7 linked regions of the Xenopus tropicalis genome follow. The protein of the gene in region 1 interacts with the protein of each later gene in a biochemical or structural test. Links are inferred from orthologs where the notes say so. Each region holds a gene or a part of one and is shown in the gene's direction. Other genes may lie near its edges.

Region 1 (4,160 bases):
TCTTATAGTGCAGTGTAGGGAGGGCCACCGGCTCCCCAGCTCATCCAGAGAATTCAGCCAGCAGGAAGTGGAACGGATGGGCGGGGCTAGTGGGGTTTTTGTGGAATTTCTCAATAGATCAGCAGGAAACACAACTTTTTAAAGCACAATCCTTCTATATCTAGAGGAGTATAATTCACTGGTACATTCATAATTTTTATAGGATCTGTCTCCTTTAACTTATTGCAACTGTACCTTGTATTTATGGTTATACTTTGTATTTATCTATTCTATTGTACAGCGCTGCATACATAAGTAGCGCTTTATAAATAAAGATATACATGCATACTTACAATATCCTTACATTTTACCATAGGGGGCAATATTTACTATTTAGTATTTACATAAGAGCCATGATTTTTTTTTTATAATTTGATATTATGATATTGTTGTATATTGTGTTGTGTATTATAAAAACCCCTGTTATAACATGATGAGGATGTAAGATGGAGTCCCTATATATTGGCCTGCTGCTTTCATAAGGTCATAAAACTTTTTGCTGACTTCTAACATCCTTTAATTTTAGCAGATGGTTCATTATTCCCTAAAATACATTTTATTACAATAAAGTTATAAAGAATCAGGGACAGATGAATAGTGGCTTTGGCTCTGGACATATTGCATTGTATGTATATTTTTATTTATAAAGCGCTACTTATGTACACAGCGCTGTACAGTAGAATACATTAATACAAACAGGGGATTATTAAGATAATAATAGATAAATACAAAGTATAACAATAAATACAGATAGATACAAGATAAATACAGTTGCAATAAGAGTCAAAGACACAAGAGGATGGAGGTCCCTGCCCCATAGAGCTTACAATCTATATTGCTCTTGGCCCTGATCCCCCACCAATTTGGAGTAATGGACCTTTGGACCTTGCCATTGCCTAGATAAAACCTGCGACTGTTCACAACAGGCATACATATATGTATTTTATTCCGTGCAAAGGTTTCCCCTACCACGTATCTAATATTCACTTCCAAGACTCAAATGAGACAGTGGTGCTCATTTACGCCAGTAGTAAAATGTTGGTGTTACCAATCACAGCAGTAGTTTAGTTTTGATTAGTCTACCCTAAGATAGAAACTGACAAATACGTGATTAAAACGGCTCATTTCACCCAGCGGCCTGATTACCGAATGGGAGCGCACTAGTTTTGGTCGGCAAGAAGCACAAACACGGCTTTTTAAAAGTCAGAATTCTAACTTGTCAAGAGAACCCGCCCCCTGCGCTCCATAGTCGCTGCTCCAATGACGCATTTCCGGAAGGTGAGGTCAGATCTTTCCTGTGCCGCCATTTCGGGATTGGTGAGGTCGGGATCGGTAGTTAGAAGACTGGTTGCCGCGTCTGGTTTGGGGGCGGCGTCTTTTGCCGCCTTAAGCCGGTGGTAGTATCGAGTACCGGGGCGCTAGGGAGAGGCCCATAGGGGGAGGAAAGCCATGGCGGGCAACTTCGACTCCGAGGACCGGGCGAGCTGGTACTGGGGCAAGCTGAACAGACAAGAGGCGGTCAATCTTCTGCAGGGCCAGCGGCACGGTGTGTTTTTAGTTCGAGACTCCACAACTATACCTGGTGACTACGTATTGTCTGTCTCTGAGAACTCCAAGGTTTCCCACTATATCATCAACAGCGTCAGCAACAACCGGCAGAGTGGGACTGGTGAGTAGGGGCTACATGCAGCGCATGTGAGGTGGGGGCGGCTGCACTAATACCGATAAATAGAATATATTTTGCATTGCATGTGTTAGTGAATTGTAGAGGCGCAGCTGCCAGGCACTTACAGCAGAAAGCCGAGGGCCTATTCCCTTTGCATTTATTTCTCTTATCCAAACTGCTCATAGTGACTAAACACTGGTGTGTGTATATATATATATAGATATAGATATATATAGATATACATTTATAATATAGAAAAATGAAATGCATGCAAAGGTTTTCCGGTATTGGGTGCACTGGGGGCATTAAACTCATTTGTAGGCATTTGAGCTTGTGAGCAATTAGTTTGAGAGCCACAGTCCATCCTTATTATATGCCATTTGTCACTGAGTCTTAGAATTAGAGCCATGTTATATCCCTGTTTAGTTGGGGCGCAGTGGTAGCCCAGTTTTTGGTTTTTAATTACACAGAACTTGTAACATTTTTGATAGTGACTGTCTATGGCAACTCACAGTAGCCCCTCTGGCATTTAACAGAATAGACCAGGGATCCCCAACCTTTTATCCCTGTGAGCCACATTCAAATGGAAAAAGTGTTGGTGAGCAACACAAGCATGAAAAAAGTTCCTGGGGGTGAAAATAAGAGCTATAATTGGCTATTTGGTAGCCCCTATGTGGAATGGCAGCCTACAGGAGGCTCTGTTTGGCATTACACTGGGTTTTTATGCAACCAAAACTTGCCTCATAACCAGAAATTAAAAAATAAGCACCTGCTTTGAGGCCACTGGGAGTTGGGGAGCAGCATGTAGCTCACGAACCACTGGTTGGGGATCACTGGAATAGACAGATTGCCAGTCCAGGCCTCATAGTCATCTGTGTTCCAGATTTACTGAATGGACAACTGCTCCCAGGTCATTATAGTGCAAACAAGGAGTTGGATTTAAAATTGTAAGTTTGTGAGCAGACTGGTTTTTTTTCATATTTCAATTATGTAGAGGCTTTCCGTGATTTCATAGGAAATAGTTGTGTTAGTGGTTTGCATACCTGACCTCAAAGTGTGTGTTCAACTTCCTTAAACAGGAACATCCAACAAAAGGTTTTTCTTTTGATTTGGTGAATGCATCCGTAAAAATCCCTTTTAGTGTTGATAGCAAATGAGAAACCACTGATTCATAGTCTAGGTTGCACTTTGAATGGCTTCCTTTGATTTTCTGAAAAATAAATAAAAATTGCACTGTGGCTCAATCTTTGTTTTTTCCAAAGACACTATTGCAACATACCCCAAGCAAAATCTCTGCGCCAAACGTAGGTAAAATTTGAATTTACAACAAACAAATCAGTCGGTTCCGCAAATCTTGTTTTTCATTTAACTTTGCTGCTTCATTCTGCCCCCCCCCCCCCCCCCCCATGGAATTAAAATGTGTTGAGGAATTCCCCAGTATTACAGTTCCTTATTTTATGGGACAATGCTTGTGGGAAACTATATTGTCACATCATCTTTACTCAACTTATTTGTTTATATAGGTCTTCCACTGTGCTTTTATGCACAATTATTAAGATCTAAGTCCAAGCACCAAAGAGTTTATTGTCCAGATTTGTGCTTTAAGAATTTGGGCACATTTTGTACCCTTATTCCTTTCAGGAACAAAACCCTCGTGCACGCTAAGCAGCTACTACTTTGGAACTGGGCACACACTTTATATGAGAAATGCCCGAACTACCATATAGGGAACAATCACTGGCATACCCATGCAATCCTGACCTGGCAGCGCCAGAGTCTACCATTGGTAGTACATTTCCCTTCAAACCTACAGGAAGCAGCTGCAGGCAGGGAAAGTCATTTAGTTGTGGACTGAAAGATAAGCGTTTATTTTCTTTATAGTGATACAATTAATATTGTGGGCCAGTTGCTGAAACTCGTAAAACAGTTTCTTCCAATCCCGTAACTTTAATAAGAAACGTTTAGTTAATTTGTAAAATCATGAATCATTTTGCTTATAAAAGTCCCCTTAGCACACAGTGGAAACAATTCATGCTTGTCCATGACACATGGATAATTTTCTTAGCAAGTGTGGCCCAATTTCAGAGTAGTGAAGGGCCATCTCTCTCTCTCTTTTTTTTTTTTTTTTTTTTTTTTTTTTTTTGTTAATTGTATGTGGAATAGGACATACTACATTCACACTGTCACCCAATGGTTTAAGTTGTGGGAATAAAGACCAGATTGTGCTCTTCACTTTTACATGTGTGTATTGTGTGTTCCAGTGCTACTTGTTTGCATGACACATCTGCAATGATTCTGAGTATACATTTTGAGTATAAATTACACTATATTTTTACTGGATTACCTGGAACCCATACAAAATACAGTACTTTTTCTTCATTTTTTTTATTTTTAATGTTTCTACCATATTTTAATTAGCATTCTTAAAATCCATGCAGTTTTTTTTTCTTGCCTG
Region 2 (3,980 bases), on another chromosome or scaffold:
AGGACGATATTACAAATTTACTAGCAATGTAGTTGACAATAAATTTGTAATCCCTATGTGCCTGCCCCCCACCTGCCCGTCCCCTCACTTCCCTCTGTATGCCCCAAACCTGCCTACTCACTGTATTCGGAGCAGCTGCATCATCCTGCCCCTACAACGCCATCCCTGCCTCTTACATTATGGGCCAGAAGTAAAGGTGGCAACCTTACTCTCAAGAGTGTTAGCTCAATAAAGGCAACAATTATTTGTAAACAAAATTGAGATAAATTCCCTCAAATGGCTTTCTATGGGCCTGCAACTAAAAAGAAGCCATTATGAGACCTGAAGATGTGAAGGTATACCTCTCCACTTCAGAAAGTACCTTGGTGAGGTAGTGTGCTAAGACACCTTTTGCAACTATGCAAGTATGACTGTGAACACATAACATATGGAGAAAAGAAGACAAAGGGGCACATTTACTAACCCACGAATTGTCGCGACTTTTTCGTTACCAATACGATTTGCGCAAAAAACGTGAGTTTTTCGTAGCCATTACGATTCGCTCGTATCTTGTCGCGACTTTTTCGTATTGAGCGCTCGTAAGCGGTGGGCGAAACTTTCAGACTTAGCATGATTTTGGAAGCCTCCCATAGGACTCAATGGCACCCTGCAGCTCCAACCTGGCCCAAGAAAAGTCCAGATACTGAAGCTTGAATGAATCCGAATCTTTCGTACTCGGCGCGAAGGCTATGAAAAAGTCGCGACTTTTCGCGCAAGTAGTAACGCTACGAAAAAATCGGCGCAAAATTCGGAATGGCAACGAAAAAGTTGCAACAATTTTCCGAAAAATCGCCAAATACCGATCATTACGAAAAAAACGCAATCGGACACATTCGGCCTGTTCGTGAGTAAGTAAATGTGCCCCAAAGACTACTGGCACTAGTAAACATTACAAGACAACATTGTAACATGTAAACATTACATTACATTAAACATTACAAACATTATAAGGTTACTTCCATCAATAATATGTTAATACTAATAAAGGCGAATCATGATTTGTCCCCTTTTTAAGGGTAGCAGTCCTTTCCACAGGCAGATATTTATTGAGAAGCCTTTTATGCTCCTTTAAGCCTTAACACACTTGGTGACTAATTTCACTAAATGACACAGGACCTGGGCTCTTAACGTCGCCATGATGTTTGGGGCGTTGCTGGAATCAGCCGAAGTGGGCGCTGTAGATTTTCGTCATGGGACCCAGGAGGCGCACTGCCTAATTTCTCTAGCTTCTCGATGATTAAGATGGCGGCGGCCTGGGCTGCGGCTGAGGCGCGGAGCCAGAGCTTGTGACTGTGGGATTGCTAAGCCGCAGCCCGGCTGTGACTCGGAACTGTATTATCTTGGGCGAGTCGGAAAGGAGGAAATATTTTCTGGCTTGGGGGAACCGGACGTAAACCTGTTAGCAACGAGAGGGATGTGACCGGCCTGCCTTGGGCCATCCCGGTGGGGGCGGCTGCAGTGGTGGGGAGGCAGCTTACTAAAGGCCGGGGATGGGCCAGCAGGTAGGCCGCGTCGGAGGTGAAGCACCTAGTGCTCAACAGCCGCACAGAGGAGCCAGAGGCAGCGGAACCAAGCCAAGCGCACATGTGGGAAACATAGCAGCAACCAGCAGCCGGAGAAGGGAAGCGACAGGCAGAACCAACCCAGAGACTGGATTTAACATTTTTACACAGCACGGTATGTTGTGTCTTCTGGGCGGGGGATGTCAAGCCTGCACCTCTCATGCGCTTTGTAAACAACACATTTATCATACGGGGATGCTGGGAGTTGTAGTCCATTCGCATCTTCAGCCCACAACATAGACACAGCTAGTATAGGACATCCATAGCAGTTCATATCTCTCTTACCAATAAGCCAACCAAGTCAGCTAGAGGGAAATACTAATTGTGGCAGTCCATTGACTTTTTAGCAATAGTATTGATAGGTTTATAAGGTATTACACCTATATATTGATTAAGAATTCTGACAGAGCTTCATATCACACATTGGAGGCACCCAACATATATTGGGGTCACATTTTAATTAGTACCTGTCTTATTTGCATCCATAAATCCCAATTCACACAAGATGCAGTTAGAATAGAATATATCTTTATTGTCATTGTCTTTATTGTCATTGTCTCATTCTCCACTTCAGAAAGTACTCTGGTGTACTAATCTGCGTCTGAAAGTGGTCATACATGCCACAATCCTGACCTTTCTCACAACCATTGTTCATTCACTCTACTAATTTTAAGAGCTGAATGGTCACATATGCAAGTAAAAATAAAGGCATTTTTACCCCTATCTTACCATTCAGCATTAATATGCGGGCACCTTTAGATGTACCCGATCAAAATTTGCAGACCTGCCCGATTGATAAAACAACCAGTATTGTTTCCTATGACAATATCAGTGCGTGTATGGCCACCTTAAGCTGCTGCCTCAGTCCCTCCGCACAAGATCTGCAGCCTCCTGACAGCCTGCGCAATTATTATCGTGGATGTTTGAAAATCTTGTTAGACAAGGACCAAGTGTAGATGTGGTGCATGGTCAACTTAAATCAGTGGTTATTTGTTTACCTGTAGTGGTCTGATTTAGATATTATGTTAAAGTTATGATGTATACTTTAGAGAGGCCTTAGGGCTCTGGCACATGGGGAGATTAGTCGCCTGCAAAATCCAGTGGAAGGACACATCCACCTCATGGGCCTTTAGTTGGACAGCCCTAAGCTTAGTGATCCTTTGTACTTGAGAAAAGGTGCATGGAACTGGCAGCAGGCCCTATGTTAATAACGGAGGATGTAAATGTTATTTATAGCAGTGATAAAGATGCAGACATTTCAAGAAAAGTTCTAATGCCAAAGGCGATTATAAAGTTAAAGCCTTTTATAAATGGTCTCAGGGAATGGGCCAGTGTAAGGCAAATCTTGGGTTCTAGTTTCAAATAGAGAAGATCTAAGCATGTTTTTGGACAGATTGGAGTTCTAATGGCACCTTTAAATTTCTTTTATATAAATGTGTCCTTAGTACTCTAAACCTATTAATTTTTCCTATTCCTTACCGGAACTGGACCCTGACATTGTACCTTGTTTCTCGTACCCCTTCTTTTAAATTGTAAGCTGTTTTGAGCAGGGCCCTTTTGTATTGGATACCTTGCAGATTGTAAGCTCTTTTGGGCAAGTCCCTCTTCGCCTTTTGTATCGGTTGCTTTATATGTTACTCTGTATGTCCAGTGTATGAAACCCACTTATTGTACAGCGCTGCGGGATATGTTGGCACTTTATAAATAAATGTTAATACAGGTATGGGATCCGTTATCCAGAAACCTGATATCCAGAAAGCTCCGAATTACGGAAAGCCCGTCTTCCATTGACTCCATTTTAATCAAATAATTCAAATTTTTAAAATTGATTTCCTTTTTCTCTGTAAAAATAAAACAGTACCTTGTACTTTGATCCCAACTAAGATATAATTAATCCTTATTGGGGGCAAAACAATCCTATTGGGTTTAATTAATGTTATTGATTTTTTAGTAGACTTAAGGTATGAAGATCCAAATTACGGAAAGACCCCTTATCCAGAATACCCTTGGTCCCGCGCATTCTGGATAATGGGTCCTATACCTGTAACAATATCAGTCTTATCTTTGTATGTTCACTGTATACACCCATGTATTGTACAGTTCTTTGGAATATGGGGTTGCTTTATAAATCCATTCTCAGCATGTATCTGAGAAACCTAGTGATGATCAGTTTGGCCAGAAACCCGCGGGAGCTACTTTATACTCTGTTATTAAAACATATTTGAGGGCAAAGTTTTAAATGTGAAAAATGTTGAACCCTAATGCGTGTGCTAAGAAATAGTGTTGCTAAGCTCCAATGTACAATGAATGGCTTACAACCCCTTTTCTAAAAAAGTTTGGACAATATGTAAAATGTAAATAAAGAGAGACTGGGATGAT
Region 3 (3,500 bases), on another chromosome or scaffold:
TGTGAATGTCAGTGTGGGCAGCGGGATGTTTATATATATATATATATATACAGTATATATATATATATATATATATATATATATATATACATGTATATATATACATGTGCATAAGTATATTGGTCAAATGTTTCTGCAATCTGCGGTGCAAAATTATATATTTCTATTGCATTTATCATATGTGAAGATATCTGTATTGCAAAAGCCATGGGACATCTATGTGCAGTACATTTAGCATTGACTGTGCATTCATATGCTGACAGGTTAACATCATACCTCATGTCTCCTACCTTGACTGACTGTTGTTCAGTGTCGGACTGGCCCACCAGGATACCAGGAAAACTCCCGGTGGGCCCAGGTGTCAGTGGGCCCTCCTGCTCCTGACCATTTGGCCTGTTTTATGGTCATTCCCTATTTCGGAATGGGAAGAAAGAGGAGAAATAGATGGAAGAATAGATGCTAGCATGTAAATAAAATACTAGGAGAGGTTGGGTGAGGAAAGGAGGAAAAATAATTAGGAAAGTGGGCCTATAATCTAAGGTTTCCTGGTGGGCCCCTGGGTTCCCAGTCCGACACTGCTGTTGTTTTTATAAATATATTCAGTACAGATCTTTTGAACCCCAATATTACTTTCCAATTAAAATGAGTAGAAAAGGTAAATCATTATGGTCTTACTGTTTTAACTTTCAGGTCAGCATCCTTCCACAATTTTGTAAAAGCTGCATTAACGAAAAGTCCAAAAAAGAGACCAAGTGCTTCAAAACTGCTATCTGTAAGTCATGGGGAGGGGCAGCTGGATGGGAAGGGTAGTGGGACTAAGCCAGAGTAGTTTCAATGGAAGTGTCTGTATGACCTGATATTACTTTCATCTTTACTTATTAGCATCAGTTTGTGGCTCAACCAACACTCAATGCTTCCCTCACTCAAGACTTACTGGAAAAACTGAGAAATCCAGAAAAACACAAAGATATTCCTAACCCAGATGAAGAAGAAGAGGCAGAGGTAAGACACTGTGAAAGAAAGCAGCAGAAAAGGCACAAAAAAGAATGTATTTAAAGGGACACCAATAAAATCCTTATTATATTTTTTTTTAAACACTCACAGTTATCTTGCACTTGAAAGAACCATATATCTTCTTTGGATGTTCTAATACCATTTATATAAATATGTTTTATAGCAAACAAAATAGTCCCATATGTCTCTCTACAGACAGTATGAAAACCTCTTAGAGCATATAGGACCCAGAAATATGTTATTTGCAGAAGCTGGAAAATATAAGCAATTAATTTGTAAAGTATTTAATACTTTTGATGTTACTGACCAGTTAACAGATATCTCATAACAGAACGTAGAATAAGAATTAAAGGCAATATTATAAAAGGAGAATTCTTAGTGGTTCTGGTGAAGGAAAAAAAAATTGAATTCAGTGTAGACATCGTGACTATCCAAAACAGGAGATACTGGGAAAGCTAACAAGGTTCACATACCATATGGTTCAATGCCATAATTACAGTCATCGTAGTGCCTGCTGTTAATATATTGTTCAGATAAGGCTGATGCCACACGTGGCGTTTTTACGCAGCGTTTTTTCTCAGCCTAAAAACGCTGCACAAGCCACACATGGCGTTTTTCAGCCTAGAACTGGTGACGTAAGCAAATCCCGTTGCCATGGTGCTAATAGTGCGAAATAGCAAAAAACGCCGCGTATTTCCGCTAGGTCTGGCAGCTGCCTTTGCGTATCCATAGGAATAGCTTGCTTTGCAAGTACTGGCGTATTTCAGCCAACGCTTGAAAAATCCGTGCTTAGGCGTTTTCTAGCGTATTTCCGCTTTGTGTGGTTTGCTGCGCGTCTTTTCAAGCTATTTCTATGGATGATGATATCAGGCGTTTTTCAGCCGCCGAGAGAATTAGAAAATACGCAGCGTAAAAACGCCACGTGTGGCATGAGCCTTAAGGGAACTCCACCCAAACACAACTTAAGCTTTTTAAAAAGTAAACATATTTTCAAGCAACTTTGCTTTAAACGTCAATTAAAAAATATGCAGCCTTTTCATGATTTTTAATGTAATAATATGGTTTGGGACAGTTACTGAAGCCTGGCCCCTGTTCTCCTGCTGATCTGGCTGACTATTTTGAGACTTTAAAAAAAATGTAACAGTACTGCCTTTAGCCTGTATGCTCTACATTATGTCAATAAGGAAAGGAACATCACAATGCAATGCATTGTGGGTTATGTAGTATTATATAGTCCTGCATGCTGTCTGTAAGCTGTGGAGAAGTTGCTACAATTTGTAACGTCAGTGTTTTAGTCTCTCCTTCCTAGCCAGGATTTCAAATGATGCAGAAAGAGAAGAACTGTTTTGCAGCTGGATTTCAGCAGATAAAAATTGTATTTATTCATACTTTTTGAAGAAATAAATTACAGTAATACATTTATTAAGGGTTTCTGTGTTTTGTGGAGCATATGTTGGTTCGGAAGCTGGAGTTTCTCTTTAAAGGTGATAACTGCTTTTTTTACTTTGGTGCAAAGGCTTAATCTCAGCTGATGCATACTGAGACATGATCACCATGACTTTTAGAATGGTAATAGATACTGCAGTTTCCATCTCAGAGTGCAAACATCATATATTAACAGGCATTGCCCACTTTCTCGCGCATCCTTTCGAAAAATCGCCACCCTAAAGCCACCCGATCCTCTTCAGACATTCAGTGTAAGTATTGGTGTTACTGACTTCTGTATAGAGATTGTGGACTATCTTGGGATTTATTTTATAAGTTAATAATACATATAATTCCTATTCTCCACAGTGCACCAGATCAATTTAAAGCAGATGGCAATAAGTAGCGAAGGAGATCCTGCATTAATATTGGTAATGAGCAATGCAACTTTTTATGATATGTGCAATTCATCTATCCATGGGGATATATCATATTAATATTTCAGTAAGCCTCAGTTGCTCTTAGGAATAAAATAAACATGATTGTTCTACAGTTTACACACTGTGTGACTGGCAAAAACAGGAGAGGAACCTTAAGCATATAGGGGTGCAAAACTCCAAAAAGCACTTGCATCGGGCACATGCATGCACTTTGCATCTCACGCTGGATTAAAAATCCCTCCAGAGGTGCAGCTGCAGCGCATGGCAATCCAGTTTTTAGGATTCCTTTTAACACTGCACCCACAGCCACTCTATAACATCCAAACATGTAAATTATGTAGTGTACAAGTTAGGGGGCGGTAGACCCTCCATTCAGCAGTGTTGTATTCAGTAGGTGAGTTCAGGCCCTTGTGCTTCATTCTGTCCTTATCCTTGTACACCTATAGGCAGGGTGTTAGGCTGATGCCAGACGTGCCAGAATACGCTCGGGTGCAGGCACATGTAGCCGATATACGCATGAAAACGCGAGACTTTGCATTCTCACGCGTTTTCATGCGTATATCGGCTACATGTGCCTGCACCCGAGCGTATCTCATTCAATCTGAAAGCATTTTTCCGCTT
Region 4 (3,500 bases), on another chromosome or scaffold:
CTGTTATCTGCTATGTAACCTGTGCCTTTTCTCCTTTTTTCCAGCTTGAATGGCTGCCCCCATGGCTTCACAGCAGCTCATTTATATAAACTATAGTACTGTTACTTTAGCAAATACACAACTTTACCTGTGCAGGGTAACAGTACATTATATTTAAAATACTTTAATACACTTTAATTTTTTGGCGTTACTGTTCCTTTAAAGTCAACGAGAGATAGCATGGGCAGTTTTCAGTATAACTCTGCATGTAAAACCTCCATGTAAAGGGGGCCATACAGCTAAAGATCCATCCGGATTATAATTGCCACCACTGATGGAATTGTAATTACAGCCATCAGGGAAAGGACCAAATCAATATGCTTATGTGGCCCCCACCCTGACGGGAAGATCAAACCTTCCTGATGGATATCGGCCCGATTTGTGGCCAGATATCTTTTGGGAAGGCCTGTTGGCTGGCCCCATATACCAACTCTTAACCAATCATTTTCATGCATTGTATCAGTTAGTTGACATATTGCATGTTAATGTCCTGCATAATATAAAAATAATGATGTTGTACACAGCAGTCTGAAGAAGGGGCATATACAATAACTTGAAAGCCACATCTTGGGGGACTATAGCTGGGCAGCCTTCCTGTAGACTAGATTTTCAAGATTTCTTCTATTTGTTTGTCTTGTATATCATACAACCTGTTCACACCAGTGACTACAGTGAACAGGTTGTATGATATACAAGTACAGTGATGTGCATCCCTATAATGTAGACTGCATGGTTTTTTTTTTGGTTGTTTTTAAGACATCTTGGTTTCAAACCTTATAATTAGGGTACAGATGCCCTAAAGTCCCAAAATGTGTTTACACTGTGTAACTGAAATTGACTTTGTCCCCCAAAACCAGTCCCAGTTTGGCAAAGTATCTATCAGGCACTAATTATCTATACATGTGTAGGATCTGTTATCCAGAAATGTAGTCTATGGGGGATGGGAAGGACAAATAAGCAAATAATTATTATTTAAAAAATATTTTTAGGATGTAATACATTTTTATTGGACTAAAGACATGGGCATCCAAATTACCGAAAGATCCCTTATCCAGAAAACCCTAGGTCTTGAGCATTCTGGATAACAGGTTCCATACCTGTACTATAACTATAAGTAACACACAGTTGTGCACAACTCGGATAAAACCATTGCAGCATTTTTCTTCAAGCGCTTTTGTTATTTCCCAAACCCAGATAAGCCCTTTAAGGCCTCAGCGACCAAAAAGCCAAGTTCTCAACCTCGTTACTGGTGAAAGGCGGATTTCTGTATCTCCAGGCCCAGCTACCCCACAACAAACCCAGCCACCACCCATTACTCCAAGAGTTAGGGCTCTGTTCAGTCTTCCATCAGGTAAGGATATTCTTTATATTTCCAAATCCAATCTGCTGTATTCAGTTACGTGTTAAGGCCAGAGAATAAGAGAAGCAACACTTTAGAAAATCACTGTTAAATGTTGCTGTCCCTGGGGGAAACACTGAGCCCTCATACTGCCATGATGGCCATAGGTCAGTACCAAACATTTTTTAAAAATGGCTTACTTTCATGAGTGCTTTGGACTTATTCTATGATTTCTGTCTGATCTTATGTTTATCTTATGTTAGAAAATGCTTGATCTTCAGTACGGTGGAGTGGGGCTAGTGTAACGGGATTGTTGTGTGCTAGTTTTTGGTATTACCAAAGAATGCTTTCAAGTGAGGGATGGGGACCCCAAGGGAGGTTTAAGTTTGAAAAGTCCAAACAGCAAGAAAGTAAATTATCATTCATATAATCCATATACAGTTCTCCAAGTAATCTTACGCAGCCCAGTACATTGTATTTCTCAGGCATTGTCTGCATCCCTAACATGTAAATGTTACTATTTAATAATGACCGCATAGGGAGGTAGGGTGCTGAGTGCAGAGTTAATATATATTGATATCCAGGCATATACTCATATGAGCCATGTAAAAAGCCCATCTGCATGGGATGTGGTCATTGTTAGAATCCACAGGTATTGCTACGGTTTGATCAAACTACTGTATTTAATGGTTCTTTTAAATCTTCACCATTGCAAGGGATGTCTCTATGTGTAATCTCAACAGCATGAATTTAAATGAGTTCTTTCATTTGACAAATTGGTTTAACTTTGATTTCTTTTTTACTTTTTTCAGGCGTGGAAATGAACGGTGAATCAGTGGCTACCCCCCCTCCACTTCCAGTCAAAGGGAGCACGGCAGATTACGGCAATGTCATGGATTTCACGGATTCCGTAACTCCTTCAACTCCTCCACCCCCTCCTCACAGGGTAAGGTTGCTACAGGCATCCCACTCTGGTGCTGATGTGCTTGCGTTAATATCTAATACTGTGTGCCCTCTGACTTTCATTTCCAACCCAGTAGTTAAATCAATAGAATTTGAATGAGAATGGCTTTATCTGCAGCGTTCTACTATAAAATATCCAAATTGTGATGGGTTTTGTTGAAGTGGTCCTTTAATCTCATGTGTATGTATGTCAAATACATTGCATGGACAAATCCATCCCACCTTTTCGCCTTGAGGTCTCTTTCCTCCAGATGCCTGACGCTGCCCCCATAAATACAGTGCCTGCCTTTACCAGCTGGTAGTGACTGGGCTGCACACACCCAAGCACAGTTAGATCTTGAGCACTATGGGACACGCTACTGCACCCCTTAGTGCATTGGTCTGGGGGTCTTCATAAGAGACCCTTTATATCTTCCTGTGCTTACAGACCTCTTAAGATGTTTTGTTAGGAAATGAAAGTTTGGAGAGGCCAGTGGTTGAAAGGGCAGCAAGACGAGTGAAGTGTGGGCTAGCAATCATGCAGTTCTGCCTAACCAATGTAAAACAGTTTTGTTTGGTGCAGTGACCCAGAGTGATTCCCGTAACCAATCAGAGGAAATAACCAATTTGTTTAGTTGGTTTGTGCCTATTTTTCCTCTTCAGTGTTGTCCTGTAAAGTCAAAGGGATTGGTACTTGCCAGTTTGTATTCAGTCCATCTTCCATACATTTGTATTCAGTAGCTTCCATACATTCTCCCTGTAGATTCCTATAGCAGTGGTATTTTTAAGGGTATTTTTGAACCATGCCTAGTATTTTTAATGTGATGCATTGCAGCACAGGGCATGACAATGGAGAGATTAAGGTTAAATTTGGAAGATTAATTTCAAATCTTTCAATAATCTTTTCAAATAATAATTTTCCAACCTTTCAGTAATTCCCTAAATGAATAACGTTTCCAGCCTATTGCAGCTTCACAGATGAGCAGTTACAGAGCTGTGTGCACCCTTCATGTTTAATCTAAATAAACTGTATACAAAGGGGCTGGATTTCAGTCAGATACCAAACAGGCCGAGCCTCACAGCAATGAAAGCCGACAGATTGCTGCTGTTATTACAGATGTGCCTGTTACATAAGATTCCCCTTTTCCCTGAGGTGCGCGAGAATCACTGAATTTGCACA
Region 5 (3,500 bases), on another chromosome or scaffold:
GAGCTACGAGGGTGTGAGCACAAGAGTAGATCCGTTTTTCTCTGTGTCTGTATAAAATGACGGCTGAGGAAAACAGCAAATCTGCTTAGTGTGCCCTTGCCTTTAGAAGAAATCCATGTTTTCCCATTTTTTTGGCATTGCAAAGTACTTATTTGAAAGTTGAGCTCTTTTCACTTAACTCAACACCACTTCCTTTATGAACAAAGCAATTAGTTCAGAGCTTCCTATGTCAGCCTGCAGATAAGTGCAGGCTGACATTACGCCCGTACACAAACTCATGCATCTATTGGCGTATATCGGCTGCATGTGCCTGCACCCAGGCGAATTCAGTGCATCCGGGTGCAGGCACAACGAGAAGATTTTGTAAGCGTATGAGCGTATTGTCAGCTTGAGCTTATCCGCAGGCTGACAATATGCCCTGTGTGCCTTTGCCCTATTTACCTTTTAACAAACATACAATCAGCAGCCTTTGAGCAGCTCATTAGGGGATTCTCAGTAGACTAGTAATTAGTTTTATTCGCTCCTTTGAATTTAAGTGGTATCAGGTAGGTACTTAAGTGAAACTGGCTTCATATTCTTGTTTAGTGTCAGAAATTACAGAAACCATAGATATTTCTTAGACAAAACAATAGCCAAAAAAAATGTAATCACAAGGCATATTTATTATGCTCATGTGTATACTGTCACTGTAAGGCAACAGTTTGTCCAAAGAAGGGATCTCAATGTCTTGAAAGCATGCAGTTCATTTTACCACGTCTGGAAATCTTAAACTTTTGTCTGCATCCACACATTTTTTTGGACAGTTTGTTGGACGAGTTTTTATAAAAACTTTTTCATTAAGGTCCATCATGAGTATGGTACCTTACCTTTATACAAACAAAGGATAATGCTTGATCCACCAAGTATCACTTTATTCATTTCTAAATTTTCCTTCCTTCATTCTTTGCTTTCTTTCATTTACTTCCTTTTTAATCCTTTCTTTTCTTCCTTTCATCCTTTTCTTTTTCTTCCTTCCTTCAGTCCTTTCTTTTCTTCATAAATAAATGGTGTTTTATAAACTTTTTTTGTTAGTTAATCCCCCTCTGTTTCTCTTAGGAAAAGACCGCCAACCAAAATGAAAAAATCTCCTGTTGGAAGCTGGCGTTCTTTTTTTAGCATAGGCAAATCATCATCTTCAGCCTCCATGTCTAAGCGGAAACTTCAGCGTAATCCAAGTGAGCCTTTGGAAATGAAATCCATGGCATTTGCAGGTATTTTGCAGCAGGATAGCAGAATTAAAGTTTACATCTAAGTGGCAGCATTTAGTTAGTTTCTGATTATTGGCACTGGTTTGATATCTATTGTTTTCTCCTCAGGTGGAAGAGATAGCAGCACCATGCGCTCAGCTAAAAGCGAGGAGTCTCTCAGTTCCTTGCATGCAGCAGATGGTATGTATTTATGGTGTTCTTCATTTTTTTTGTAAGAGAAGAAATTTATTGCACAGAACAAAAATAGTAAACTAGGCGTTTGCTTCAAGTCATCGTCCTAGCACCATTTTAAAAGACAATGATAAAATGCATGTGAAAATGTAATTTAACATCTAATGTGTTTGATTTGGGCTTCCCTTAATACTTGGTATTCTCTTGTATTCTCTTGTTTAGTCTAAAAGCTTAAGAAACCATTTAAATTAGATGCAGTAATTATTTAACAAAATATACATGATACATATAAATAACACCCAAATAAATGGAGAAATGTGCAATCTGACAAATTGCACAGAACCTATTGTTATTAATTTAAAAGGTTGACGTATTTGTTGCTTCTCCTTCTCAGTTACCTCTGTAGGTACTTAGAAGTATCTTTCTAACTATAGAATTCATCATGCTTGGCTGGCAAGTGTTGGTGCGTGAGGTCACACACCTTGTGACGATGATCCCAGAGGTGTGTTACTCCCACGCTTATCAGCCAAGTGAGACTGATTCTGAAACTTACATAATTTTGACAAGGCACCACTGTTCTGTAATGTGAATCCAAGCAAGGAAATAAGATCTCCAGTATTGCTGGAAGTGTACATTTTTTGTGTAGTCACAGAACATATGAATATACACATGCCCTGTATACCTCATATGTTTATTTACGAGGCTTATGTGTCAACAGTGAAAGGTTGTACTTACACAATTCGATGAAAAAAGACATGAGAATAAGATTAATTAAGATTTTTTTTTTTTGATTGCACAACTATGATCTTCAGTCTTTGATAAATCAGTCCCTCAGTGTTTTTGTATTGCATATACAATATGCAATATGCATCTTATTTTCTGCTCATTCACTGCACATGTTCTGTGTTGCTGTCAGTTAATGAGCTTAGGGACCAACTCACAATATACTGTATATATAGAATGTAAATGTTTTCCCCCCACCAGAGCTGTTGGTTTTCACAGCCCACTTTCCATTTGAGAGAAATAGTGCTGTCATGGACAGCAGCACAACCAGTCAGGCTTATGACTGAAGCCTCCTTTAGTCTTGACGCCCTGTTGTGCACACCCATAATGGGGTGTTTGCACAGTATTGTTTACCTCCATCTGAGTACAGGCTGTGTCAGTTTGCAGCTTTAGTAGGCTAAACATGTAAGGAAAGGTGACCTTTAAAGGAGAAGGAAAGCCTAAGTCACTTGGGGGTGCCAAAATGTTAGGCACCCCCAAGTGACTTAAATCGCTTACCCTGTAGGAGTGCTTCCTTCTTCTGCGTTGGCGCACTGCGCATTAGAGTGAAAAGCCGAAATTTTACAACAAAGTCGGCTTTTCACTCTAATGCGCATGTGCTGGCCCAGGGATTTTGCCGGCAGAAGAAAGAGGAAGAAGGAAGCCCTCGCTCAAGGTACCCCTGGCTGGTGCGGTTTTCACCCCCAAGTGACTTAGCCTTTCCTTCTCCTTAAATATACAGCAGGAAGCATTGCATTTTTATTATATTTTTAATTTTTTTAACAGATTCAAAATATGCTGTAAAATGACAATATAATATATTTCCCCCACATGTTACTAATGTTTGATCAACAAAGCAGCATATGCATTTTTTATATTAAACTAGAAAAATTTCAGGTAACGCAAAAATATATATATAGTTTCTTTGTAGATATACATCGGTTTATGTAGATGGTTACAGTTCTTTAAATAAGCATTATATATGTTAATTCACACTAACATTTTTCAACTACCAGGAGAGTCGAAGCTATTTCGTCCACGTCGTCCTCGTTCCAGCAGCGATGCTCTGTCTGCTTCATATAATGGGGACCTTCTGGATAGCTGCAACCGTTGCAACTCCTATGATAATCTGCCCCGAGACCAAGACAGTGATGGAGATGAGGGTTTGATTCATGTGCCTGCTATGCTGTCAGGTCGCTCTCCTGAGGATGAAGAACTCAGCCCACCAGACATTGGTATGGCCAGTTTGGACTTTGACCCAATGTCTTTTCAGTGCAGCCCTCCCCAGCTAGAATCTGAAGGACCAGACATTTTTTTTCA
Region 6 (3,500 bases), on another chromosome or scaffold:
CATGAAAATGTATTGTTGTGGTAGGGTCTGAACCCAGCTTCAGATGAGGGACCCAACCCAACTACAGATGAAACAACTGACCTATCCTGGATATGTGTTCTTGTGATTGGGTCTGAACCCAACTACAGATGAAACAACTGACCTATCCTGGATATGTGTTCTTGTGGTTGGGTCTGAATCCAACTACAGATAAAACACATGACCCACCCTGGTGTCATCATGAATATTTATTGTTGTGGTAGGGTCTGAACCCAGCTTCAGATGAGGGACCCAACCCAACTACAGATGAAACACCAGACCCATCTTGGATATGTGTGTTGTTGTGTATATGTGGTAGGGTCCTGAATCCAGCTACAAATGAGACCCAACCCATCCTGCTCTCAATATACATAGGTGTTTTGTGTTCTTGTTGTAGGGTCAGAACCCAACTACAGACCCATCTTGTCGTCTTAATTTTGAGTGAACCAAGGTTACATACCGGATGCATCCTTATACTCATGGTATTCCATAGTACCACCCCCCACGCTGTCACTATTCCCACCAATATTAAAGTCATGTAGGGCTTAGTGATACCTTGTAGCCTACCTTCTTCTCAATTCATCTTATCCCTCTTGTTGAAGCTTGCCATCTGTTTAGTAGGTGAAACGTTTGATATGTTTCATCTGTAAAATCAACCGATACATGATTCTTGTTCCAATTTTATTTCTAGACCTTAAGCCGCTTGGAGGAACAGGAGAAAGAAGTCGTTAATGCCTTGCGTTACTTTAAGACAATTGTTGACAAGATGGCGGTGGACAAGATGGTGCTGGTGATGCTGCCAGGGTCGGCGAGCAAAGTGTTGGAAGCCATTTTGCCATTGGTGCAAGTGGATACTCGGTGTCAAGAAAGGTTGGTGACCCCCCATCACTTTTTGCCTGGGAGAACTGAATTCAAATCCTTCATGTGTAAATTCTAAAATGCTATCTCCTGTAAATTCCATTATAAGCAAATAATTGTAATTTTTAAAAGTTCCTTGTACTTGATCCCATCTGGGGGCAGAAATGGTTAAATGATTCCCTTTTCTCTGTAATAATAAAACAGTACCTGTACTTGATCCCAACTAAGATATAATTACCCCTTATTGGGGGCAGAACAGCCCTATTGGGTTTATTTAATGGTTAAATGATTCCCTTTTCTCTGTAATAATAAAACAGTACCTGTACTTGATCCCAACTAAGATATAATTACCCCTTATTGGGGGCAGAACAGCCCTATTGGGTTTATTTAATGGTTAAATGATTCCCTTTTCTCTGTAATAATAAAACAGTACCTGTACTTGATCCCAACTAAGATATAATTACCCCTTATTGGGGGCAGAACAGCCCTATTGGGTTTATTTAATGGTTAAATGATTCCCTTTTCTCTGTAATAATAAAACAGTACCTGTACTTGATCCCAACTAAGATATAATTACCCCTTATTGGGGGGCAGAACAGCCCTATTGGGTTTATTTCATGGTTAAATGATTCCCTTTTCTCTGTAATAATAAAACAGTACCTGTACTTGATCCCAACTAAGATATAATTACCCCTTATTGGGGGCAGAACAGCCCTATTGGGTTTATTTCATGGTTAAATGATTCCCTTTTCTCTGTAATAATAAAACAGTACCTGTACTTGATCCCAACTAAGATATAATTACCCCTTATTGGGTTTAATTAACATTGAAATGATTTTTTAGTAGACTGAAGGTATGGAGATCCAAATTATGGGAAGATCTATGTATCTATGTAATTACACCACAGTCTATTATTAGGAAATAATCCAGGTAGGTTATGTAGTCAAATGCTGTTAAACCACAGGAGATCTGTCCCATCCCATCATTATTTGTAACTGTCTTACATCACATTGCTTTGGGCATAGATAGCAATGTTCAGTGTGACCCTGAGGGTTTTGCCCAAGTGTCTTGTTTTTAGAGCTGTAAGTAATATTGAAGAATCTCATATCCACATATTGGGAAAATATGTATTATTAAAGGAAAAATATCCCTCCCCCCCCCCCCCTTTGTAATAGTCTGCCCCTGACTAATAGGAGCCTTTTTCCCCGCCCCCTTAGCCTGCTACAGTCACTTTTGAAAGCACCAATGTAACATGGAAGGAGGAGTTGCATAGTTTGCCTCTGACTCATAGGAACCTTTTCTCCGCCCCCTTAGCCTGGTAGAGTCACTTAGAAACCATCACATGGATGAAGGAGAAGGAGCGGTTGCATGACTCTGCCAGCCTAAGGGGAGTGGCAAAATGGTTCCTACAAGTCAGGTCAAGAGAGTTTAATGTTGAAGTAATAGATTATAATAAGAAATACACCCCCACCTTAGGCTGGCAGAGTAGTTTAACCCCTTCTTCACCTTTTTCCATGTTACAGAAAGAGATTCTTAGACTTAAAGTCCGACTTGTTGTCTTTCCATAGACTCTTTCCCCCACCTTGGAAAGCAGACATCCTTCTGTAACATGGTAAAAAGTGAAGGAGGAGGGGTTGAATGATTCTGCTAGCCTAAGGAGGGGTGGGGGGAATGAGTCCTTATTAATCGGCAGCGGAATACTACGTCAAAAAGGGGGGGATGATATATTTTGAATAAATCACGCTTATCATTCTATCTCTCCTTTATACCCAGCACCGCCATCTCTTCCTGCTACAGCCGCGTGTACCAATCCCTCGCCAATCTGATTCGCTGGTCTGACCAGGTCATGCTGGAAGGCGTCAACTCGGAGGACAAGGAGATGGTCACCACCGTCAAAGACGTGATAAAGGCCGTCCTGGATGGCGTGAAGGTTCGTATCCCTGCTGTGCGACTCCCACTGAGACCGCTGCTCGTTTGTGTTTCCAGCACATTTCCTAATGAGCTCCGGTGCCAAGCCCATAAATCCATTGTTCTTACTTCATGGATTAGCAGCCCTCCCACTGAATAGCGTCAACATTTGGCGCCCAGCGGCGTTTAGGGAAATGATATATAAATAGCCAGTAAAAAGTGTTTTTTAACATTCATAACTACAGATATAACTGTTTATTAGTTAAAGGGGATCTCCACCCAACAACATCCTGATTCAGTGTGTAAAATATAAGCATGTTATTTAGGCCTGTTTTATTTGAAAATGGATTAATATATCCTAAAATACAATAACAGTGTGTGTATTCCACACTTCCTATTCTTCATAAGTTCCATGGAAAGAAAATATTGTCTGAATCTGTTTAGCAAGAGAGCAAAAGTGGGTTAGGGCAATGTCAACACTTGGCACTTTAATGTTTCTATGGCTGCTGTACATGCTCTATCCATAGAAAGAAATGTCCCATTCATGGCTGGGAACCCTAAACTCCATTTACCAATTGCACTAGTCTCTATAATCATCTCCTCCATGGAACAGATATGGCCAACTTTTGGCATTCCTGCATGAAGTTGCTGAACTACAACTCCAAGGGTCCTACCTCACAGTGGGAATTTTGGGAGCACATTTTAAGGTGGCCATA
Region 7 (3,500 bases), about 92 Mb from region 1:
ATTCTAGAGATTTGTGGAGAAATATCACAGCTCTAGACCCCAAAAAACTAAGCGTCTTCAAGACAGTGAAGGAAATCACTGGTAAGACATCCGACAACTTTATAAAGGGAAGGAGTTGCTTCCAGTCTCGTGTGACTTATCAGGAAAGCAGAGATATTTTGCTGGTATAGACATTACACATTGTTACACACTGATCTTCTTACATGTCCATTCTGTTTCCTTCACACCAGGGTACCTGAACATTCAGTCTTGGCCAAAGAGCCTGACAGACTTCAGTGTGTTCTCCAGCCTCAGTACGATTGGTGGACGGACTCTCCATACGTAAGTGGTTTTATTGTGATGTCTATATATTTCTACATCCACACAGCTCAGCTAGCATGCATGGGTAGGTAGCAGTGCCTTTATGTAATACAACAGCAAACATGCATGCAGTAAATAAATACATTTTATTAAGATGGGATTGAAGTAATATGTACTTTCCTCGGGGTGCAGGGGGGGCAGATATATTTTTATCTTTTATACGTTTTCTGTATATGCACATTTAAATATACTTTTTTGAGTAAAATCCCAGTTACTGGTCTTTTTTGGATGGTGTGTGTGTATATATATATATATATATATATAGAAAGATGCTAGTAAGCAGCACACCATTAGTTAAAAGTTGATACCTGGGTGCCTGTGCGCAAAAACAATATACAGGCTCGGATGACGGCACACACAGGGTTTGCATATAGATGTCACTGGGTCAAATGAAAATTAATTGCATCAGAGGTTTATTAGTTCCAACGTTTCAGCTCCACACAGGAGCTTTCGTCCTGTGTGGAGCTGAAACGTTGGAACTAATAAACCTCTGATGCAATTAATTTTCATTTGACCCAGTGACATCTATATGCAAACCCTGTGTGTGCCGTCATCCGAGCCTGTATATATATATATATATATATATGTAAAACAGGTTCTTAAAAATGTAATTACTTTACAAACTACTGGAGTTGAGACCTTTTATGTTTCTATTTTAATGTTTAAAGGAGAAGGAAAGTCATTTTTGCATTTAACTGCCAATAGATCCACCACATTAGTGCCACCTAGAACTCTATATTTATTCTGCAGAAAGATTTATCATACCTGAGTAAAGAACCCTAGAAGCTTTCTCTGTTTGTTAAGATTGTTTTAGCTTGGTGTTCATAGCTCCCTGCTGTATAGCTCTAGCCGTTATAGCTCAGATTACACATTCCTAAGGGTGGGGGGAGGGAGTTTTATGAAATTTTATGGGAGGGGGGAGCAGGAGAGGGCAAGAAGAGAGAACTGGGCAGACTTTGGCCTCAGGAATGAAGGATTTTTCTGAGAGAGGAAGTCTGATACGGAAGAACATGTTTACACAAAAGGAGACAAGAAATCCTGTGTTTCTTTTGATAGAGAACTCAGTGCAGCTTTTCTGTGAGTGCTTATGGCTGTATTTACATAGACCTTTCTGATAAAACTTACATTGTTTTTACCTTTCCTTCTCCTTTAAGTAGCAGTCACTGGGTATATGAGTGGGTTATGTCTCCAAAATAAAAGTGTATAGGAAAAAACACAAAAGGCTAACTTTTTGCTGACTACACCTTACGTTGACATAACTGTTTGTTCAGCCGAGGCTTCTCACTACTTGTGATGAAAAACAGCAACGTGACCTCATTGGGGTTCCGCTCACTGCAGGAAATCAGCGCGGGGAAAGTATATATTGCAGAGAACCAGAATCTCTGCTATTGTGACACTGTGAACTGGACATCTTTGTTCCCAACATACCCTCGCCAGAGCACTGAAATCAAGGGAAACAGAAAGAAGAATAAGTGTGGTAAATAAAACATTTACGTGCTATTCTGTGTCCCTTTTCGTGATTGGCACTAATGAATTGCTAAAAAGCCATGCTGCACATAGATTGAACATGTGACAGATATTAAAGGGGTGAGGTGGCAACAGGCAAAATCAAAACATATTAGTCTGATTTAACAGGAGTAGATGCAGTAATTAGGGTGAAAATGCATATTCATTGTTTACCCCTTCAGGTAAAGCAGTATATAAATTATTTTGACATGAGCACTGTGTATCGGCAGGGTAGCTCCCCTTTTCAGCCTGCTTGCCCCCCATTGTTCAGAGGGGGTGTGTTAACCCTGCCATAAGGAGTGCTGCTTCATAGCAAGCAGATACCCATTTATTCTTGACCTTCTAGAGTTGAGCAGCATAATGAAGACGAGACTTGTAAGGTTTTGCTATTTCAATGTAAAACTTCTGCACATTCAGTTTCTGTAGGCAATTCTGCTATAGGAAAAATCATATATTTTACAATAAAGTATGGCATAATAGCAACAGAATAACATCACTGATACCATTGATGCCATAACTGATATCATTTTGTTTACATTTATACAATGGTACTTGCATCAAAATTATGCAAAGTAGCTTTTAGCTTTGATAAGTAGCAACAAAAACTTGCTGTGGGTAAATTGCAGCTGCAGATTAGTGCAAGGGAATATGCACCAAAGGGCACCAATATTCCCAGATGAATGGATCAATGATTACTATATCCTGCAAGGAATTTAAAGCCATTCACTAATAACAGGTGTCTCCTCTACTCACTGGAATGAAACCTTGTCAACCATGTAAGGCAACTTCTGAGCCTCTAGTAAGGATGAGCTCTGAGATAGATGCCAGTAGGTCACTTATTTTTGAATAAACAAAAATTGCTTGTGTGGGAATAGGTAAAAAGATCAGTGTAAGAAAGGCTAAAGGCTGAGGATATTGCTCGCCTCGTTGATTGGCCAGGTTAAAAGACACAAAATGTACGTTTAGGGCTGAATCGGCAAGTGAAGGTAGAATTTGTATTGGTTCTACCTTTATATATGACAATTCAGCCCTGAACGTCAGTGGAGGGTGGGAACAATCTTTTATGAAAGATCGTTATTGCTACGTGTATGGCCACCTTAAGTTTGTCAGATGTTACCTTTAGTTTATTGTGTCCTTCCACCTGCCTTAAATCTCTCTGTATTTATTTTATTCAGTGGAGGAAGGGAAGGTATGTGACCCTCTCTGCTCTAACAATGGATGCTGGGGTTCTGGGCCAGACCAGTGTTTATCCTGCAGAAATTACAGCAGAAATGGAGTATGCCTGCAATCCTGTAACTTCACTGAAGGGTGAGTCGAGGGCCAGGGGTAGATAGCAGACATTTCCTTCTCAGAACACTTTTATGTTGCCGGTCTCATTTATATCACACTATTCCTAGTTTATACAATTTATTTAATAGTGTATTTACATGTATGGCGACATGAATGTGTAAGGAAAATTAAAAAAAAAACCCAGGAATTGGAAATGTATTCCCGACTATATAATATACCACAAGTCGTGCTCTGTCTCGCTGTAGAGTGTATAGAGATGTTTGTTCCATGTGGATCCTGTCACACAGATGTGAACTCCTGGTTCTGAGCCTGAAGCAATATAGCAACCTGATTATCAGACCGGC

What was found.
Region 2: of the proteins of crk (region 1) and abl2, one has a biochemical effect on the other in vitro, tested with the Homo sapiens proteins (2 studies listed by BioGRID and IntAct, with this or other methods). The link is inferred for Xenopus tropicalis from reciprocal best matches to the Homo sapiens genes CRK and ABL2.
Region 3: the proteins of crk (region 1) and map4k1 form a complex in vitro, tested with the Homo sapiens proteins (2 studies listed by BioGRID). The link is inferred for Xenopus tropicalis from reciprocal best matches to the Homo sapiens genes CRK and MAP4K1.
Region 4: the proteins of crk (region 1) and dock1 form a complex in vitro, tested with the Homo sapiens proteins (3 studies listed by BioGRID and IntAct, with this or other methods). The link is inferred for Xenopus tropicalis from reciprocal best matches to the Homo sapiens genes CRK and DOCK1.
Region 5: the proteins of crk (region 1) and arhgap32 form a complex in vitro, tested with the Homo sapiens proteins (2 studies listed by BioGRID and IntAct, with this or other methods). The link is inferred for Xenopus tropicalis from reciprocal best matches to the Homo sapiens genes CRK and ARHGAP32.
Region 6: the proteins of crk (region 1) and rapgef1 form a complex in vitro, tested with the Homo sapiens proteins (4 studies listed by BioGRID, with this or other methods). The link is inferred for Xenopus tropicalis from reciprocal best matches to the Homo sapiens genes CRK and RAPGEF1.
Region 7: the proteins of crk (region 1) and erbb3 form a complex in vitro, tested with the Homo sapiens proteins (2 studies listed by BioGRID and IntAct, with this or other methods). The link is inferred for Xenopus tropicalis from reciprocal best matches to the Homo sapiens genes CRK and ERBB3.

Annotation. Positions count from the first base shown.
Region 1 is NC_030678.2:46,102,802-46,106,961, reverse strand, and holds the start of crk (adapter molecule crk), read left to right. Parts: upstream 1-1,360; 5' UTR 1,361-1,488; coding exon 1,489-1,708; intron 1,709-4,160. UniProt on the Homo sapiens protein: Involved in cell branching and adhesion mediated by BCAR1-CRK-RAPGEF1 signaling and activation of RAP1.
Region 2 is NC_030680.2:99,888,316-99,892,295, reverse strand, and holds the start of abl2 (tyrosine-protein kinase ABL2), read left to right. Parts: upstream 1-1,180; 5' UTR 1,181-1,529; coding exon 1,530-1,716; intron 1,717-3,980. UniProt on the Homo sapiens protein: Non-receptor tyrosine-protein kinase that plays an ABL1-overlapping role in key processes linked to cell growth and survival such as cytoskeleton remodeling in response to extracellular stimuli, cell motility and adhesion and receptor endocytosis.
Region 3 is NC_030684.2:80,427,211-80,430,710, reverse strand, and holds part of map4k1 (mitogen-activated protein kinase kinase kinase kinase 1), read left to right. Parts: intron 1-690; coding exon 691-772; intron 773-882; coding exon 883-1,002; intron 1,003-2,635; coding exon 2,636-2,711; intron 2,712-2,808; coding exon 2,809-2,870; intron 2,871-3,500. UniProt on the Homo sapiens protein: Serine/threonine-protein kinase, which plays a role in the response to environmental stress. Appears to act upstream of the JUN N-terminal pathway.
Region 4 is NC_030683.2:24,114,550-24,118,049, reverse strand, and holds part of dock1 (dedicator of cytokinesis protein 1), read left to right. Parts: intron 1-1,233; coding exon 1,234-1,390; intron 1,391-2,190; coding exon 2,191-2,324; intron 2,325-3,500. UniProt on the Homo sapiens protein: Involved in cytoskeletal rearrangements required for phagocytosis of apoptotic cells and cell motility. Along with DOCK1, mediates CRK/CRKL regulation of epithelial and endothelial cell spreading and migration on type IV collagen.
Region 5 is NC_030683.2:72,445,810-72,449,309, reverse strand, and holds part of arhgap32 (rho GTPase-activating protein 32), read left to right. Parts: intron 1-1,095; coding exon 1,096-1,250; intron 1,251-1,355; coding exon 1,356-1,427; intron 1,428-3,196; coding exon 3,197-3,500. UniProt on the Homo sapiens protein: GTPase-activating protein (GAP) promoting GTP hydrolysis on RHOA, CDC42 and RAC1 small GTPases. May be involved in the differentiation of neuronal cells during the formation of neurite extensions.
Region 6 is NC_030684.2:12,193,211-12,196,710, forward strand, and holds part of rapgef1 (rap guanine nucleotide exchange factor 1), read left to right. Parts: intron 1-709; coding exon 710-888; intron 889-2,649; coding exon 2,650-2,806; intron 2,807-3,500. UniProt on the Homo sapiens protein: Guanine nucleotide-releasing protein that binds to SH3 domain of CRK and GRB2/ASH. Transduces signals from CRK to activate RAS. Involved in cell branching and adhesion mediated by BCAR1-CRK-RAPGEF1 signaling and activation of RAP1.
Region 7 is NC_030678.2:137,690,874-137,694,373, reverse strand, and holds part of erbb3 (receptor tyrosine-protein kinase erbB-3), read left to right. Parts: intron 1-7; coding exon 8-81; intron 82-230; coding exon 231-321; intron 322-1,631; coding exon 1,632-1,837; intron 1,838-3,041; coding exon 3,042-3,174; intron 3,175-3,500. UniProt on the Homo sapiens protein: Tyrosine-protein kinase that plays an essential role as cell surface receptor for neuregulins.